Arabidopsis thaliana: one gene and its partners. The protein of the gene in region 1 interacts with the protein of each later gene in a biochemical or structural test. Each region holds a gene or a part of one and is shown on either strand. Other genes may lie near its edges.

Region 1 (5,012 bases):
TGAGGAGTTTGATTTAGAGACGAAGAAATGGACTGAGATACCGGAAATGTCGCCTCCAAGGAGCCGGGAAATGCCGGCAGCAGCAGAGGCGCCGCCTCTTGTTGCGGTTGTGAATAACGAATTGTATGCTGCTGATCATGCTGATATGGAAGTGAGGAAGTATGATAAGGAGAGTAAGAAATGGTTTACTTTAGGGAGATTGCCCGAAAGAGCTGACTCGGTTAACGGTTGGGGATTAGCGTTTAGAGCTTGCGGTGAGAGGTTGATTGTGATTGGTGGTCCTAGGAGTTCAGGTGGAGGGTACATTGAACTGAATTCATGGATACCATCTAGTGATCGAAGTCCGCCTCTATGGACATTGCTCGGTAGGAAACATTCATCGAATTTTGTTTACAATTGCGCGGTGATGGGTTGCTGATAAAAGGGTTTCAACAATAACTTTCAGATGATTTTTATGATTCTCCTGCCGTTGGAGATGTCGAAAGTTGCAGTCTTTTTTTTCTTATTAATTTTGGTTATAAAAGAAATTTATTTGAATTCAATTGGATACAATCATCTTGGTGGTATTGTTAGTTTCTTGGAAAGAACAGAAACAGGTCTTGTAATAAGTTTGGTGGAGAAAGTTCAGAATCTAGAGTTTTTCAGTTCTGCTATACTATTTGTTAAAATTTTTGTTTATATTCGTTTCATTCATTTTTTCGCAAAGAGACTATATTATGTGTTTTGTGTGTTCTTCTTTCAATTCTCTGATAAGAGAAGAAAAAGAGCTTTTAATCTTATAGTTGTTGTTTGCAAGATAACTTGATCTTTTGCTTGCAAGTAATACCATAAACTTTTCAATTTTTCTCCTTTCTCTTGGTTCTCTGTTTTGGGATTTTTGCTTCCTTCTTCAGAAATTATGGCAATTAATTCTTTGAAAAGTAAAAAAAACAAAGATAGACTTAATCAGGAAAATGGCAGTTTGCATCTGATTTTGACGTGTAGGTAGGTCTCTGTCATTTTCTCTTTGAACTCTCAGCCTTGCATGACAATACCTAAGATGGGCTTGCTATGCTAATTTCAAATCTTTTATGCATACTAAATGATCCAACAAGGCAATCACCCATCTCTATCTAAAACTTCAACGATTTTCAAGCAAATCTTCAATTAAAATATTTAAAGCTAAAGCCATGATAAAACTTGCAAATGAAAGATATATGGCCAAGAACGAAGGAACAAAATCATTTCAGAGCTTAAACAAAAGAGTCACAAAAAGATTCAGAATACTGATTGTGTCCAACTAAAAACTTAAAACAACACCAGAGATAACGATAAGTAAAAAGATTCAGGCTGATTATAATTCTTCTTCACCGGAATGAGAAGGATACTTCAGTTCTGATACTCTTCAGTAGTGGGCTGGCAAAAAGGCACTTCCCGGCTGACGGTTAGCCAAAGGTCCATGGCATGAGAGGAACTGAAAAAAAAACGAAAACATTGTTCAATTCAACAACAAATGATATTTCCAATGATAACTATCACTGCTATAGGATCAAAGAGTGACAATTCTGATGTAAAGCCAATAATACCTTAGCGTTGACACCATCAGGGACAACACGCTTCTCTTGCCTCAACTTGGTGAAGTCAGCTCTGTTAAACTTCGTGAAGCCCCTGAAAAAAAAGTCAAAGACTTGATGAGTTAGCTTACTTGTATCCATAAAACAATCAAACAACAAAATGATTCAAGGATCAATCTTTGAACATACCATTTCCTGCTGACAATAATCTTTTGACGACCAGGGAACTTGAACTTAGCACGACGAAGAGCCTCTTGAGCATGGTGACCATGGGCATCCTTGCAACGAACAGACAAAAGAACCTGTCCAATAGCAACACGAGCACAAGTACCCAAAGCTTTACCAAAAGCACCTCTCATACCAGTCTGAAGCCTATCAGCTCCAGCACACGAAAGCATCTTGTTAATCCTGAGAACATGGAAAGGATGAACCCTAATCCTCAAATGAAAAGCATCTTTTCCAGCAGACTTCACCATGTACTTGTTGCAAGCAATACGGGCAGCTTCAAGTGCTTCACTTGACACATTCTCCTTCTCCCATGACACCAAATGGACACAGAATGGAAACTCATCAACACCCTTCCTCTTCATACCAACATCGTAGATCCTGATTTTTGGATCTGGCACACCACGACAGTAGCGAGACTTTGGGTATGGCTTACCCTTGATCTGACGGTAACACCTCGCAGGTCCTAAATCAATATTCAGATTATTCAGATTTCAGCTCAGACCAAACTCATATAGCTCAAAATCATCACAGTATATAAAAACCTAATCAATCAATTGGTATCTAAAGAGAAACTATATAAACCTAATCATTTATCCGATGAATAGAAAAACTGAATCGCAGAATCTCAAAATCGCAACAAAGAGAGAACATTTGGTTAATTAAATCCATGGAGGAATCGGAAGAACACAGAAATCCTGACAGAGAAGTCACAAGAGATCGAGAGAAACTTACTTCTTCCCATGGCGTCTCTCTTTATCCTTCCTCGGCCAAAAAGCGCGGCTGCTCGACGAAAAAACTAATGACCTAGAAAATGGCTTCAATTTATAGATCCGAAATTTGCTAGGTCAACAATATAGCTCTGGGTTTTTAACTAATGGGCTTTAACTATTAAAGCGCATTACATATTAAAGAGATTTGTTAGGGATAGGGTTAGGGCCCATCGATTGTATATACGTTTTTTTTTTTTTATCTTCCTCCTCAAGGAAAAAATCAACATTGGATTGAATTGATACAAATAAGCATATCTTTCATGTTATCCATCACTCAGAACAAAATCCTCTCAATAGACAGAGAAATAATGCAATTGCTTCCCCACGACACCGTTGAGGATATTCTTGAGAGAGTTCCGGTGAAATCTCTGCTCAGATTCAAGTCTGCTTGCAAACAATGGAAGTTGACAATCGAATCTCAATATTTCCAGGCGAAACAGTTGATCTGCTCAGCTGGCGGGAAAGATCTAAATCTTGTATTGGTGTCTGAAGTACCCAGTACGTTGGTGTTGCCCCATCATGTTACTGCTGATTCTCCTCCACTTAAAACTAACGTGTTGTTGATATCATCAGAACGATATCATATTTACCAACTTTTCCACAATAGTTGTGACGGTCTTGTTTGCCTCTTTGATTACCAAACCTTAAACAACATTGTTTATAATCCCGCCACTCGATGGCATCGACGTTTCCCTGTTTCCAGGTTGCAACAAATCTGTCTTGAGCAGCCAAGTTATTTTAGTCACGTTAAATTTGGATTTGGCAAAGACAAAATCAGTGGCATATACAAACCGGTTTGGTTATGTATAACTCTTCCGAACTTGGCCTAGAAAACGCTACTACATGTGAAGTTTTTGATTTTAGCACCAACACTTGGAGGTATATCAATCCTTCTTCTCCTTATCGGATTAATACTTCCTCGTCTCGGGGGCATGCTCTGTATGTAGATGGATCGCTTTATTGGTTAACCGGGAAGAAAGAAATTAAAGTTTTAGCGTTAGATCTCCACACCGAAACTTTTCAAGTTATCTCTAAAGCTCCTTTTGCGGAAGCAGATCATAGAAACATTATCACACGCAGCCTGAATAACCGTTTGTGCTTATCGGTTAGTAAACCTCTCCAACAAATGATAATATGGTCGTTCAATTCAGAGAACAAGACCTGGGAACAAATATATTCGATAGTGAATCGTAGTGTTACGCAATCATTACCAGTAGCCATTTTGGAGAAGAATAAGCTTTTGTGTTGTCCTAGATCAAATAGTAGACAGCTGATGATATATGATATCAAAACCAAATCTGTTGATTCAGTTTCCATAGGCACCTATCGTTGCGGAGATAGTGTTTTTTGTTATTTCGAGAGTTTAATCTCTATATTGTAACTTTCACCATTTTCTTCTTTTTGTTTGCTTCTCGTGGATCCATCTATTTGATTTAAATTTTAGATTCTTGTTGTCCAAGTTTGCAGCTTTTTCATTATTAATTAAATTTTTAAAGAGACAGATTACAGTGTTGATTGAGTAAGTGTGTACAGGGTCTGAAAAATATTGCAGAACAAAATCTTTGAAGCTTAGAGTTCTGAAACCAAGATCCGCTTTTGTATGTCCGAAAATGTCTGCACATCTTCTCCCCACAACCTAAATTTTCAAAGAAAACAGATAAACAAAAAGCACTATGTGTTATGATGGATGAGAATTTAAAAACCTCGGAAAAAACAAGATGAAAAGTATATTTGGCGCACCAACAAGCAATACCGATGGCGTTTGCTCCGCCTTTATCAGCTCCTTCATCATCTCCGACATGCACTGCTCTGTTTACATCTACGCTGATTTGTTCTGCGCTTGACACAAAATGTTAACGTTAATTTGTTCTCCGCTTGACACAAAATGTTAACTCTGAAACCTTTCTTATAATTTAAACGAAACAACACTTCAGTTTAGAATGCAATATGCCAATACCTAACGCAGATTTGAAGATTCGTTCATCAGGCTTCTCGTATCCGACTTCTGCGGATACAATCACAGCATCGAACCTGCAAGAGATGCAAGCATTATAAACGATTACCATTCATGGTGTTAACTTTGGTACTCAGACTTCTGGTTTATATAACAAAACATGACAAAGCTTACATATCTATGACATTAAGATCCTTCAATAGCTTTCTTAGCCTGGTATCGAAATTAGACACAACAGCCATCTTAACTGCAATCATCTAACACCAATTTTACAAATCCGCCATAAAGAATACAAAAAGTTATCTAAGTTAACAAGGAGAGAGTAATAATAACCTCCAGCATCTTTCAGTAGTGACATTGTCTCATAAGCTCCTTCTGGGAGATGCCATGCCTCGCCATTCGCATAATACTTAAGAGATAAAACAATGTGATGGATTGTTAATGGAACCGAAAGACTAGTCAAAAGCCTCAAAGAAAGAGTCTTTCACTCGATACTCACTTGGTAGA
Region 2 (6,801 bases), on another chromosome or scaffold:
GTTTGGATGTTGCGAGTGTGAACAAAGATCTGGAGAAGAATTCTTCAAGAACTGGTCTTAAAAAGGATACTTGGCTTGACTCTGATCTATATACATGATTCAGAGACAGAGTAATGAAAGCTTCTCACTTGTTTCATGTTTCTATGCTTACTAGGAAAAAACAGAGACCTTATTTACGCTTGTGTTGTTCTCATTGCAAAAACAGTTTTGTTTCATTTCTACATTGTTCTTAGGTATGTGAGGACTTGTGATTTTTCTTAGTACACACAAATTATTGGGCTAACAACAATTTAGCGGAGTCGAACTCAAGTGAAAAATGTGGAACCACTTGACTGAAGACACTTCCCCGTTTTGGTTACAATCTTTGTAAAACGAAACGAATTTTCTTCATCCCAAAATAAGCCAACACATATCATGGGAAAGATTGCTTCGTCCTCTTCAGAGAGAGGAAGAAAAAGAAGAAGTGAATATCACGCAAGAGATATTGAAAGAGAAACCGAAAGAAGAAGACGAAGAAGAGAAGAAGAAGCAGGAGATGATCATGCATCATGGAAGAGAAAGCAAAAGAAGAAGAAGACAGGTTATTAAGATACCAAACGACGATGTGTTGGAAGAGATTATAGTAAGGCTTCCAGTGAAAACCCTAACTAGATTCCAAACCGTGTCTAAACACTGGAGGCATACGATAAAGTCTAGGTAAATCAGGAAGAAATACATGTTGCATCAGAAAACAAAAGAACCCAAATTTCTCTGTCTCTATGAAGTTAGAAGAAACGGGTCTAAGCCAAGCATTCGTTACAAGACCATGAGGTTGGAGTGGTCTTTGAGTCGTCTAGTGGGAGAAGAAGAATATTTAACTAGCAAGAAACACAAAGAGAGGCGGATACTATTTTCCAAGAGTGTGGATGGTCTTTTTTGTTTATATAGTGGTGTGGACATGAAACAGCCAATTATGGTGATAAATCCAGACACAAGATGGTCTAAGAAGCTCCCTCTTGCTAGGATTCAACGAAAGAATTATTTAGACAGCAACAAGGTAGAGTTCTCTCGCCTCGGGTTTGGAAAAGACAGCGTCACAGGAACATACAAACTAGTGTGGTTACGTACCAAAACAAAGAAGAAAATAAAAGAGGAAACCTCATCGACGATGACATGCGAGGTTTTCGATTTCGTTTCTACGAAATGGAGGCGGTGATTCCACCTCCTCCTAATCATGGGATAAAGCATGAGAATATGTCTTTCTGATACCAAAACCTGTACAAGATCACAGCATACAACAAAATACACAATCTTATATATGTTTTTTACAAACCCAAAGCCATTCATATAGTTTCTCTTGTCATCTTGGACCTGATAACTCCATGGCTTGAACCAGCACCGAGGAATCATCTGTAAGATCCGAATAACGTTCAGAGGAAGAAAACTCGTTAGGTTTACTGTAACTTCTATTGGTTTCTGCTCTCTGAGAAGAAGCTTCCCATTTCTCAACAAGACCATCGCCTTCAAGCATTCTCACAACTTCAGACATCTTAGGACGGTGAATGGGAAGATACTGTGTACAAAGCAAAGCCACTTGAACCATTTCTTCCACTTCTATTCTATCGTAGTTGCTCTTCAAATCCTTGTCTACTATCTGTTCTAGCTTCTTCTCTTGTTGTAGTTTCTTTACCTACAAGTAACCCCAAAGAAAAAACCCTAGAAGTGAGTATTTTTAAGCTAACTGAAACAAGAAGAGAAAATGTTTTACTCTTTTACTTCTTACCCAATCAAGTATCGCTCCTCTTTGGTTTGCTGCTTTTCCGAATTCAAGAGCTCTCAATCCAGTAATCAATTCGAGAAGAAGAATCCCGAAACCGAACACATCTGTCTTCTCAGAAGATTGTCCTGTTGAGAGATACTCAGGTGCAATGTGACCCACTGTTCCTCTCACGGCGGTTGTCACATGCGACTCCTCATGATCCAAAAGCTTAGCCAACCCGAAATCTCCGACAACAGCTTCAAAGTAATCGTCAAGAAGTATGTTCGCAGCTTTGACATCACGGTGAATGATCTTTGGATCACATTGCTCATGCAAATACAGCAACCCTCTTCCTGCTCCTAATGCTATTCGCTTTCTTGTGCCCCAATCCAATACCGGTTTAGCTGCAAACCATTCACACGAATCGTAAACCGGGTCAATTCATGTAAAGAAATCAAAATCAAGGTGTTTAATTAACTACCTTTGAGACGAGAAGCGACACTGCCATTGGACATGTAAGGATAAACGAGAAGCCGTTCAGAGGAAGTAGTACAGAAACCGTATAAGCGGAGGAGATTCCGGTGGACGGCAAGGCTTATCATTTCAAGCTCTGTCTGAAACTGAACCTCTCCACCACCATTGTTTATATCCTTTAATCTCTTCACCGCGATGATACTTCCATCATGAAGACAACCTTTATACACATTTCCAAACCCTCCTTTTCCGACCAGATTCTTGCTGCTGAAGTTACTAGTTGCGGATTGAAGTTCTTTGAAATTAAACCTCCTTAGATTCCCTAGACACATTTCTTCCTTGTTTTGCTCTGTGTAAGACCCAAAAATTCACACACTCACATTTGTCTGGTTTCACATTCAACAGTTAACGAAAAGGGATTAAAAATGTCATTGTGGGTCTTACCATTAATGTCAAAGAATAATACTTGTTTGTTATGTCTTCTTCTCCACCAAAGAAGAAAACCAAAGCCAATGATCAACAAGCAAACACATGTCAAGCTTACACCGAAGACTACCGCGATTTTCCGGTTTTTAGTTCCTCCATCAGATGATTTATCTAACAACAACAACAACAACAAGAAGAAAAGAAAAATCAGTTTAGATATATTCTCTAGGATTCAAATATTACTTTAAAATATTGAAAATTTAGATATTACTTTGAGAACTGTTCAAGGTGATTGACATTGGCTTAGGCTGAGTCCCATTACAGTCTTTCTCAGTTCCTGTTGGACAAATCTGAGAATTGCCCATAACACTGCATAACAAGTTAAATAAAAACTATATAATATAATTAGGGTAACGTATAAAAGTGGATAAATTACAGAGAAAAGAAAAACACAATTACACTGTTACTTTCTCAGAACAGAGTAAAACAGAGCAGACAAATATTCTTTCTCGTAAATAGACTTACTTGAATGTTTTGGCAAGTGATCTTGGAACTGGTCCACTCAAGTTATTATACGACAAATCCCTGAAAAACATTTACAAAATATATATAAACACAGATTTATATATGTAAAATATAATTTAAAGAAGAAAATAAAAGAAAGAGAATGTACAAAAAAGTGAGTTGGGTCATGTTTGCCAATGAGCTAGGAATTGTTCCTGTCAGGCTGTTATTATTAACCCTCCTGCTCCACAATTTTCAACACAAAAATAATCTCTCCATAAATAATTTATATAAAAAATATGATAAAATAAACAAAACGAAAAAATGGATAAAATCATACAAGTACTGAAGATTTTTGGAGTAAGAAAGAGTGAATGGGATTTGACCAGTGAAGTTATTGGTAGAGAGATCAAGTGTTTTGAGTTTCATCAATTTCCCAATCTCATGAGGGATGTTTCCTGTTATGTAATTGTTCTGCAATAACCTGTATCTCCAAACAAAATTATTAGAAAACTAAAGTGATTAAGAGATGAAGAAACAATGTTTTAATAATTACTACAAAACATACTTACACAGTTTGAAGATTTGTTAAATTTCCAATACTTGATGAAAGAGTTCCTGATAAGTTTTGGCTTGGAGCTTCTCTACATACACACAATAGTAAAAACTGTAAACACATGATTACATATATGTGTGTGTGTGTGTGTGTGTTGGTGTGTAAGTGCTTACAGCCTTATGACAAAACCATCAGAACAAGTGATCATGTTCCAGCTACATGGATCAACTGCTGTGTCATCCCAATTCATTAGAACTCCATGAGGATCAGTCAGTGAGCTTTTGATTCCTATTAAGGCAACAACTAAAGAAGAAACAAAAAAAGAAAAGCATGTTTTAGGAAGAAAAAAGGAGAAACTGAGAAGTGGGGGAAGATTTTGTTGATGAACATTACCTTCAAAGTTAACACCTTTGTCTGTGAGTTCTGCAGAAGAAGAAGAAAGAAAACAGATAAAGAAGAAGAAGAAAGTTGAAGAGAACAAAGCATAACTCTTTTTTGCTTCTCTTCTTCCTTGCAACATCTTTGTCCGAATCAAAACTTGTTTTTCTTGAGAGTATTAATCTCTAAGGTGCAGAGTTTGAGGTTTATTTCTTTTGTATAAGAAATATTCTTTTTTTCGATTCTTTGTTTGGAGGTTTTTAAGAAAAAGATGGAACAGAGGATTTTGATTTGGAAGTATTTGTGAGTGAGAGTTAAAGAGGGAAAGAGAAAGAGAAAGATTTGTCTGCCAATTATTTATCTAATGGTCCTCTAGACTGTAAACTGGAAAAGGCCAGAGACAAAATCGGGAAATGTTTAGTTTTCAATCATGTGATAAAAAAACAGAATTCTATAAGATTTTTATGGTTTATATACTTCGCGCACACAAAAAAAAAAACTTGATTTATATTAAGTTATCTACAAATATGGGTCCATTTATTTAATTTCGTCTCTCTTACCAGAATTCGACTTCGTTTTTTACATATATGAGAATAAATTATTGAAAAAAAACTATATTGTAGTGCTTAAAATTACAAAAATGCAAAGATGGTTTACTATACAATCGTAGACACAAAACAAAATTGGTGAAAAAAAAAAAGACACAAAACAAAATATATCTATATCATAAAAAATATACAAATGAGTTTAACAATGATGAAATATTACATATGTACGATTTTTTTGGTTTAATAAATAATTTTGTTTTCTTTTAAATCAACTCATTGGCAATCGACTGTTTTCAATTTCAATTATGTATATTTGCTTTGAAGAAAATGTATTTTTCTAGACAATCAACTGTTTTAGAAAAACTTAAGATTTAATATTGAAAATAAATAATTATGTGAAATGTTGTATTGAATGTTGCATAGTTATACTGGTACATGGACAATGGTGTGAGCTAGTGGATTTACCAGCCTTGCTCTTTAAAAAGGGATGATGCTACCAAATCGAATATGTACTAAAAACAAAAAATCAATTAATATGTTTTTTGGGTTATAAAATCAATAGATATGTTACTTACTCTTTAGACTTTTTTTTGAAGTAATGTATTTGGATTCGAAGACCTGGTTGTGTTCTAAGTCTAGAGGATTAATAGACTCAACCTGTTCTCGGATGTAGGAAAGCAACAAACGATAATCAATTAGACCTAAGATAAGCCTTCATAAAAAAAAATACATCATACTATTAATCAATTAGAGCAGGTGAAAAGTGAATTTATATGGTAAGCACTAAGCACCATTAATCTGTTATTAATAAAGCATTTATATTCCGGGAAGAATAACCAAGTGGCCTCGAAGTGATAAAGTGTGAAAATTATTGTGATGTAACGCAAAGTTAAATAAACTGTGAATTATAAAATTATAATAGTGGGACACTCGTTGTGTCGATGAGATATACTGTGAGTCTGTGACTTAGAACTTTTCTTTTTCTTTTTTAATGACTCCCTTTAACTCTGTTTTTATTCCCACTCATCACAGTTAATATATGTTAATATCTTCATAACTATTCATTAATTATATTAAGATATTTGATCCTTTTTCTATCTATGCTCTAAATTCGTGCTAAAATATGTTTTGTCAACCATTTGAAATTAAATATCGTTTATCAATGTTGTTTGTTGATAATATAACATGTGCTTTCGCCAAATGGATGGTTTTCTTTTCTTCCGAATGTGACAATGTCAATTGGATATTTTAAGCGGTGGAATATTAGATGGTACTTTAGAGGGTAGAATTAGAACTTGATAAGACGGAAAACATATGATCGAAATGAAGTTAAAATGAGAAAACTACAAAACTCGAAATTCCAAAAGAAGAAATAATGATTGAGAGCTTAACATTTGGTCTAAAATAAAAGAAAATTGTTAGAGAAAACAAAAGTTTGAAAAGAACTTACCAAATGTAGTACATAATAGTTATAGTTAAGTTGATCAAGAAATTAATAATGATGCGACTTAATGTTATAAAATAGTGATTTTCCCCCATTTTGTCTTTCGATTAACATATATGGAAATTTGATATTTTTTTCTACCATGTTGTTCCCAATCGGATGTGCGTATATTATTATTTTACATGAGTCTAGTACTTCATTACTTTACTACTGCACAATGAAAAAATGATTGATGAAGAAATTATTGGATCGAGCAACTGCTAAGCTTATATACAAACACAAAAATCAAATCTTTGTCTACGCAGTGATTAGTCAACAGACAAGCCACTTTTTAAACCACAAAAGCAAACTGCTTTATAAAGCAAAAGCTGTTCTCCTCTATCTTTCATCATTACTCTAATTTCTTAGTGCATTATCATTTATTTCATATACTACAATTTTATTTTGGTTTTTTTCGGGATAATGTCATGATTTGTATGTCGTGTGCATGGATACACGTGTGATACTAAGTATTAACATAACAAATTGCTTATTTCTTCTTCATCATCATCGTTTTCTTTGACCACGTCTCATGAATTTGCAACCGCATTGTAACTTTGTATGCATAATAATGAGATATCAAGATTGATTGTACTTGATATTAGTTTTGTTTGAAATCTCTGACAGTTAAAAAATAATAGTGACTGACTGATATTAATTATGATTCGTTGATTATTTTGTTATAATTATCTGC
Region 3 (6,977 bases), on another chromosome or scaffold:
CTATCGAATTAGGGATTTTTTGAATTGGGGGTTTTCTGAATTTAGTCGGGTTGTTTGGGTAATAAAACGGGTTGGTTTATGTGTTAATCCGATTTAGTTTCGTTCTTATACGGTTAATGTTGTTTCGGGTACAGTAAACCAACGATAAACCACGAAATTCAAAATTTTGTGGACTGAAGATTTGAACTTTTGATTTAGGGAGACTGAGGTTTAGAACTTTCATTTGGTGTGGATTGGAGACGAGGTCCGAAATCTGTGAAGTTGTGAGTGTATATGAAACTTCCCATAGGAACACAGGTCGTTCACCCTAGTTATAATCATTATATTCCAATAGACCATGCAAATACAATTATTGAGGTATTTTATTCAAATGGAACCCCAAATTAATTTCAAAATTTCATGATTTCAACGGATTCTAGGAAACATTATGATTATAAATTGTTTGTTATTGTCTACTTGATGACTAACAGTCCACTTAATTTCAGGAATTGTTAGTGTAATATTCAAAAAAGAAAAGCTTCCATTCCATATGCTCTTAAATACTTTTTAATTTTGTGTTATTAGGCCTAATACAGTGTAAGGAAACTAATACTTTTAGCCACCTTAATCAAGTATATAAACCGTCTTTGGATATCAAATAATAATCATAATCTATAATCTATAGTAAAATCTCATTTTCGTCTAACCAAGAATTTGATGACAATTAGGTGAGTGAAAAAAAGACAAATACAAAACTCTAAGTGAGAAAAAACAAAGTCTTAGACAATCGGGTGTATCGAATTAATTATACATTGCCAAGCATATATAGACAATGTAATGGCTGTAAATGGCAGAAGTAGTTTGAATCTTCATAACCGATTTAGAACACTTGAAATAAAATAAAACGATGAGCAATTTGTCATTGTGTAATGTGTATATATATGTTGTGACTAACAACTTTTGTATCAAATTTTAAACTAATTTACAAAATCTGAAGACTGTAGTAATCACGGGAAAAAAACTTTCGTGAGTTCATATAAAACTATGGCCAATAATCTAATATAACCAATCATGCAGTCTCCCTAACATGATTGAAGTTGAGACAATTTAGCTTCAGTGCCCTAGGCATAGGACTCAAGTTGGGAACCATTTTTCCCTATCTGCATTCTGCACAATAGTTCATGTCATGTTTTGTAATCTTATAAAAATTTATGATTTTCATTTTTGTTTCCCCTGAAAGTCACAGAACCCATTTACCATCAAACGTCAAATCAACGAGAAAAAGCATTAAATATTAATGATTGTTTCTCATAAATCGAGTTTTAAGAAACCGTGTCACGTGGAGACCAAACTATAAAAACTTGACTAGGAATGAAAGTAGTTCTTGAACAAGGAAATTTTATATATTGTTTGTTCACCACAAATTTAGAATATTTGTTTTTGTTTCTTTCCTTTTGGTTTACAGGTCGGTACGCATTGATGAAGATAACGATGATGTACGAATGTGAATATATATAGTTAAATAAATAGAACCTTGCAAAATCATTTTTAATGTGTGCTCCATTACAAGAAAAATAAATGATTCACATGTATTCTTACTAAGTAAACAACATTTCTTGATATAGTAAACACATATTACGTACTTTGTTGATCGAAATCAGAATCTAAGCAAATATTATTGTGTAATTTTTCTGTTAACCAACTTTTCGAAACAAGATAATTTGACGTTAAGTTTCAAAAATTTGGTTAAGGGAAAAATGAAATTACAAGATATATTTACTAGTTTATGTAATATTATAAAAAAACTTCTCCAAAATTTCAGATGATTGAAATCTTTAAAAGCCAGCATAACTATAATGAATGATGATAATTAAGTATTTCACTTAACCAGGTAAACCATATTCGTTTTAAGATCATATAGTAGTATATACTTCGAACAAATGCAAATGCATGTCATAATATTACTGCCAACTCACACATAGACAAAAACCCATGAAAACGACACGAGGTTTGGACAAATTGTAATGTCTTGGACTTGGATACTGGGTTATCTTATACATCTATTATTACTACACACTACAAAATATTGAAAATCTTATTGTGAATATAAATCTTGTAGTAGTCAAATAAAAAAAGAGTGGGTTAAAATATTTGCATTTTGACTATTAAGAAAAGGTGTTGTATTCTGAAATTTGTTATCTATACAGATTTGTTTTCCTGATGGAAGTTAAATGTGATCGTTGCTCTTAGTGGGATTTATCGAATTTATTTCTTTTAGATCTAAATTTTTTAAAAGACTATTATAAATAATTAACTTACAACATTTTTTTGAAGAAAAAAAAGCTTATCCTTCAATACTTGTACTAATATCTTCGTATTTCCACACATCGAGAAGACAAAGATGCTGAAAATTTGAGTGGGCAACAAAATCAATATAGTAGACAGAAGTATCTTGAGCCTAGTTTTTCATACAGTATAATCTTCTCATCGAAGTTCTCACATTCTCAAAACATATTAATCAAAAAAAAAAAAAAAAATTGCATACAAAAACATTCTATATACGGAGGAATTAATAAAGTCTAGCCTATGCATGACCAACCATGGATTGTTGGGTTCCGTTTACACCAAGCAATCAGTCAACAATGTGATTTAATCATACCCTTGAAACTTAACAACTCTTTTTCATCAGATTTCAACACTCGAAAAACAATCTATGTAAGTGTAATGTGAAATAAATTAAGAAATAGGAAAATGTAACAAAAACACTGTATATTCTAAACTAAAATTAGAAACCATAGACAAAAACATGACAGGGTGGCAGCTAGCAAAAGAACAGTAATCTAATTTCCTGCTTTACCCTTCAAAATTTTTGAAATACACAAAATATAGATTTGCTTTACTGACTATTCTTGTCGATTACAAGAAACAATATGGGCAAAATTATTTTTATAATATCTTTTCTTACAAATTTTTAATATAAATTTATTACTTTTTTAACGGTCTCCCCACACACAAACTTTATCGACAAGCATGCTATTCTAATTTCACTTTAGACTACCAATGAATCTGGTATCTCTATAAAGTTTGTATATCTTGTTTCTGACATACAAAAAAATAGTTTTTTTTAAAATAAAGGTTATGCTTTTGGTGAAGTGGGTTCATCTTGATGTTGAAATGTTTTTATACTTTAACCAAAATTGAAATGAAAAAAGGATAGAGATTTGGTTTTTTGATTCTTCCAATCTCACTCTCTCTGTCTTTCTCTCTCCATCAAATACCAAATTATCTGGAAGCTGAGTACATCTTGTTTTCTGCTCATTCCTCTGTTTCAACAATGGAGAGTACTATTGTTATGATGATGATGATAACAAGATCTTTCTTTTGCTTCTTGGGATTTTTATGCCTTCTCTGCTCTTCTGTTCACGGATTGCTTTCTCCTAAAGGTGTTAACTTTGAAGGTATATTCACTGTAAAGTCTCACTCTTTGGATTCTCTCTCTTTTTTTTTTTTTTACATTGTCACTTTCGTAGATGAAGTGTTTGATATTTGGTCTTTCTGGAATTTTTAGTTGATGGGAATTCAAATAAAAGTATATATTTCTTCTTGATCCAAACTAATATGGGAGTTTTTTATTTTCGTCAGTGCAAGCTTTGATGGACATAAAAGCTTCATTACATGATCCTCATGGTGTTCTTGATAACTGGGATAGAGATGCTGTTGATCCTTGTAGTTGGACAATGGTCACTTGTTCTTCTGAAAACTTTGTCATTGGCTTGTAAGTTTCACATTTTACATTGATACACTTATACTGTATATTACACTGATGAGCAAGCAAGGAAAACAATGATATAAATTTTATTACAGAGGCACACCAAGTCAGAATTTATCTGGTACACTATCTCCAAGCATTACCAACTTAACAAATCTTCGGATTGTGTAAGTACTTACTGTTCACTAAATGATTATTAAGTTTAAAATTTGATTAAATTCTTCTGTTTTGTGTGTGTGTGTGTGTTCTTGATGATTTTTTCCTCTTACAGGCTGTTGCAGAACAACAACATAAAAGGAAAAATTCCTGCTGAGATTGGTCGGCTTACGAGGCTTGAGACTCTTGATCTTTCTGATAATTTCTTCCACGGTGAAATTCCTTTTTCAGTAGGCTATCTACAAAGCCTGCAATATCTGTAAGAATAGTAAAAATTTGTTATGGATCTTTTAAATTTTGTGTTGTTTTTATAAGGAATTTGTGATCTTGATATGTCATGTTGTGTATCATCAGGAGGCTTAACAACAATTCTCTCTCTGGAGTGTTTCCTCTGTCACTATCTAATATGACTCAACTTGCCTTTCTGTAAGCTAATAAATCTTCAGTTTACATTAACCAGTAAAGAAATTCATATGTAGAGACATGAAATGTTGAGATTTGATCTGTTTTTTTTTTTGTTTCCAGTGATTTATCATACAACAATCTTAGTGGTCCTGTTCCAAGATTTGCTGCAAAGACGTTTAGGTAATTTGATTTATTGACAATGTCTCACTCTTTCACTCTCTTTGTCCGTATGATAACCTTTCATTGTTTCCCTTCGGATTACAGCATCGTTGGGAACCCGCTGATATGTCCAACGGGTACCGAACCAGACTGCAATGGAACAACATTGATACCTATGTCTATGAACTTGAATCAAACTGGAGGTAAATAACGAACTTCCTTTAAAACTTTCAATCTTAGTATTATGATCATACCTAACTAACAACAAACTGCTTTCTTTTTTAAGTTCCTTTATACGCCGGTGGATCGAGGAATCACAAAATGGCAATCGCTGTTGGATCCAGCGTTGGGACTGTATCATTAATCTTCATTGCTGTTGGTTTGTTTCTCTGGTGGAGACAAAGACATAACCAAAACACATTCTTTGATGTTAAAGGTTTGATCTTACTCAGTTTATTACTTGCACAGAACAATCTTATAAAGTTTTTTTTTTTTATAAAGAAAGTTCTTTTATTCAACAGATGGGAATCATCATGAGGAAGTTTCACTTGGAAACCTGAGGAGATTTGGTTTCAGGGAGCTTCAGATTGCGACCAATAACTTCAGCAGTAAGAACTTATTGGGGAAAGGTGGCTATGGAAATGTATACAAAGGAATACTTGGAGATAGTACAGTGGTTGCAGTGAAAAGGCTTAAAGATGGAGGAGCATTGGGAGGAGAGATTCAGTTTCAGACAGAAGTTGAAATGATCAGTTTAGCTGTTCATCGAAATCTCTTAAGACTCTACGGTTTCTGCATCACACAAACTGAGAAGCTTCTAGTTTATCCTTATATGTCTAATGGAAGCGTTGCATCTCGAATGAAAGCAAAACCTGTTCTTGACTGGAGCATAAGGAAGAGGATAGCCATAGGAGCTGCAAGAGGGCTTGTGTATCTCCATGAGCAATGTGATCCGAAGATTATCCACCGCGATGTCAAAGCAGCGAATATACTTCTTGATGACTACTGTGAAGCTGTGGTTGGCGATTTTGGTTTAGCTAAACTCTTGGATCATCAAGATTCTCATGTGACAACCGCGGTTAGAGGCACGGTGGGTCACATTGCTCCAGAGTATCTCTCAACTGGTCAATCCTCTGAGAAAACAGATGTTTTTGGCTTCGGGATTCTTCTTCTTGAGCTTGTAACCGGACAAAGAGCTTTTGAGTTTGGTAAAGCGGCTAACCAGAAAGGTGTGATGCTTGATTGGGTTAAAAAGATTCATCAAGAGAAGAAACTTGAGCTACTTGTGGATAAAGAGTTGTTGAAGAAGAAGAGCTACGATGAGATTGAGTTAGACGAAATGGTAAGAGTAGCTTTGTTGTGCACACAGTACCTGCCAGGACATAGACCAAAAATGTCTGAAGTTGTTCGAATGCTGGAAGGAGATGGACTTGCAGAGAAATGGGAAGCTTCTCAAAGATCAGACAGTGTTTCAAAATGTAGCAACAGGATAAATGAATTGATGTCATCTTCAGACAGATACTCTGATCTTACCGATGACTCTAGTTTACTTGTGCAAGCAATGGAGCTCTCTGGTCCTAGATGAAATCTATACATGAATCTGAAGAAGAAGAAGAACATGCATCTGTTTCTTGAATCAAGAGGGATTCTTGTTTTTTTGTATAATAGAGAGGTTTTTTGGAGGGAAATGTTGTGTCTCTGTAACTGTATAGGCTTGTTGTGTAAGAAGTTATTACTGCACTTAGGGTTAATTCAAAGTTCTTTACATAAAAAATGATTAGTTGCGTTGAATAGAGGGAACACTTTGGGAGATTTCATGTGTGAAATTTGGGAATTCATGTTTGAGAATGAAATTTATCTTATTATTGGATCCAACTCCACAAGTTAAAAATTTTCATTAATGCAAACTAGTTTCATTGTTTGTTTTGCACACACACCTGACCTACTGATAGGAAAAGGTAAAGTGAAAAAAAGAAGAAATGTCTCTCATAAAGACAACACGTAGTTCATATGTTGCCAAAACTTAAACGGAACTTTACTTTCGTTTTCAATGGATGATGAAACGTCGAGAATGTGTTTTCAAGAAAACGGCATGAAGTTGTTCTCTCCGTCAAAGAAACGACGTGTTTGTGTATATAAGGAAACACCACGTGGACGTGGACCGTCCATGAAATATAAAAACGGCAATAATCTATGTATACATGGTTCACACTAGATTCAAAGTCACACTTTATACCTACAAATGGAAACGTTCACACAATAGCTTCATCAAAGTCAGAATCACATATAGTGATATGATTTGGTTTGATAACATTAACAATATGCAAAGTCAAGAATTACACGCACATTCTATACGTTTATATGAAAGAAAAAGACAGTTAAAAAGCGAATCATATCTGCATAATTGCATCTGATCTCATGTCGGTGTCTCCTTAATCCTTAAGTATTTCTTATCAAAAAATTTGTGGCTATTAATAGAAGAGAACTAGAGAGGACAAACAAAATATCC

What was found.
Region 2: of the proteins of SAC52 (region 1) and NIK2, one has a biochemical effect on the other in vitro, tested with the Arabidopsis thaliana proteins (one study listed by BioGRID).
Region 3: of the proteins of SAC52 (region 1) and NIK1, one has a biochemical effect on the other in vitro, tested with the Arabidopsis thaliana proteins (2 studies listed by BioGRID).

What each region holds. Positions count from the first base shown.
Region 1 is NC_003070.9:4,885,781-4,890,792, reverse strand, and holds SAC52 (Ribosomal protein L16p/L10e family protein), read right to left. Parts: upstream 2,680-5,012; 5' UTR 2,524-2,679; coding exon 2,514-2,523; exon of another isoform or gene 2,364-2,513; intron 2,245-2,363; coding exon 1,743-2,244; intron 1,648-1,742; coding exon 1,566-1,647; intron 1,454-1,565; coding exon 1,385-1,453; 3' UTR 1,089-1,384; downstream 1-1,088. Other genes in the region: AT1G14330 (Galactose oxidase/kelch repeat superfamily protein), read left to right, coding at 1-418; AT1G14315 (F-box and associated interaction domains-containing protein), read left to right, coding at 2,860-3,254, 3,416-3,932; AT1G14310 (Haloacid dehalogenase-like hydrolase (HAD) superfamily protein), read right to left, coding at 4,121-4,187, 4,292-4,385, 4,509-4,582, 4,680-4,752, 4,839-4,914, 5,005-5,012.
Region 2 is NC_003074.8:9,278,343-9,285,143, forward strand, and holds NIK2 (NSP-interacting kinase 2), read right to left. Parts: upstream 4,519-6,801; 5' UTR 4,219-4,518; coding exon 4,092-4,218; intron 4,002-4,091; coding exon 3,872-4,001; intron 3,787-3,871; coding exon 3,715-3,786; intron 3,627-3,714; coding exon 3,483-3,626; intron 3,387-3,482; coding exon of another isoform or gene 3,384-3,386; coding exon 3,312-3,383; intron 3,224-3,311; coding exon 3,164-3,223; intron 3,008-3,163; coding exon 2,910-3,007; intron 2,810-2,909; coding exon 2,657-2,809; intron 2,562-2,656; coding exon 2,220-2,561; intron 2,143-2,219; coding exon 1,763-2,142; intron 1,670-1,762; coding exon 1,351-1,669; coding exon of another isoform or gene 1,340-1,350; exon of another isoform or gene 1,255-1,339; coding exon 1,208-1,254; coding exon of another isoform or gene 1,189-1,207; 3' UTR 1,171-1,188; downstream 1-1,170. Other genes in the region: AT3G25545 (trigger factor), read left to right, coding at 1-98; AT3G25550 (F-box family protein), read left to right, coding at 536-696, 772-1,093, 1,189-1,245.
Region 3 is NC_003076.8:5,220,951-5,227,927, forward strand, and holds NIK1 (NSP-interacting kinase 1), read left to right. Parts: upstream 1-2,983; 5' UTR 2,984-3,313; coding exon 3,314-3,437; intron 3,438-3,621; coding exon 3,622-3,754; intron 3,755-3,843; coding exon 3,844-3,915; intron 3,916-4,019; coding exon 4,020-4,163; intron 4,164-4,258; coding exon 4,259-4,330; intron 4,331-4,429; coding exon 4,430-4,489; intron 4,490-4,573; coding exon 4,574-4,671; intron 4,672-4,754; coding exon 4,755-4,904; intron 4,905-4,989; coding exon 4,990-6,053; 3' UTR 6,054-6,338; downstream 6,339-6,977.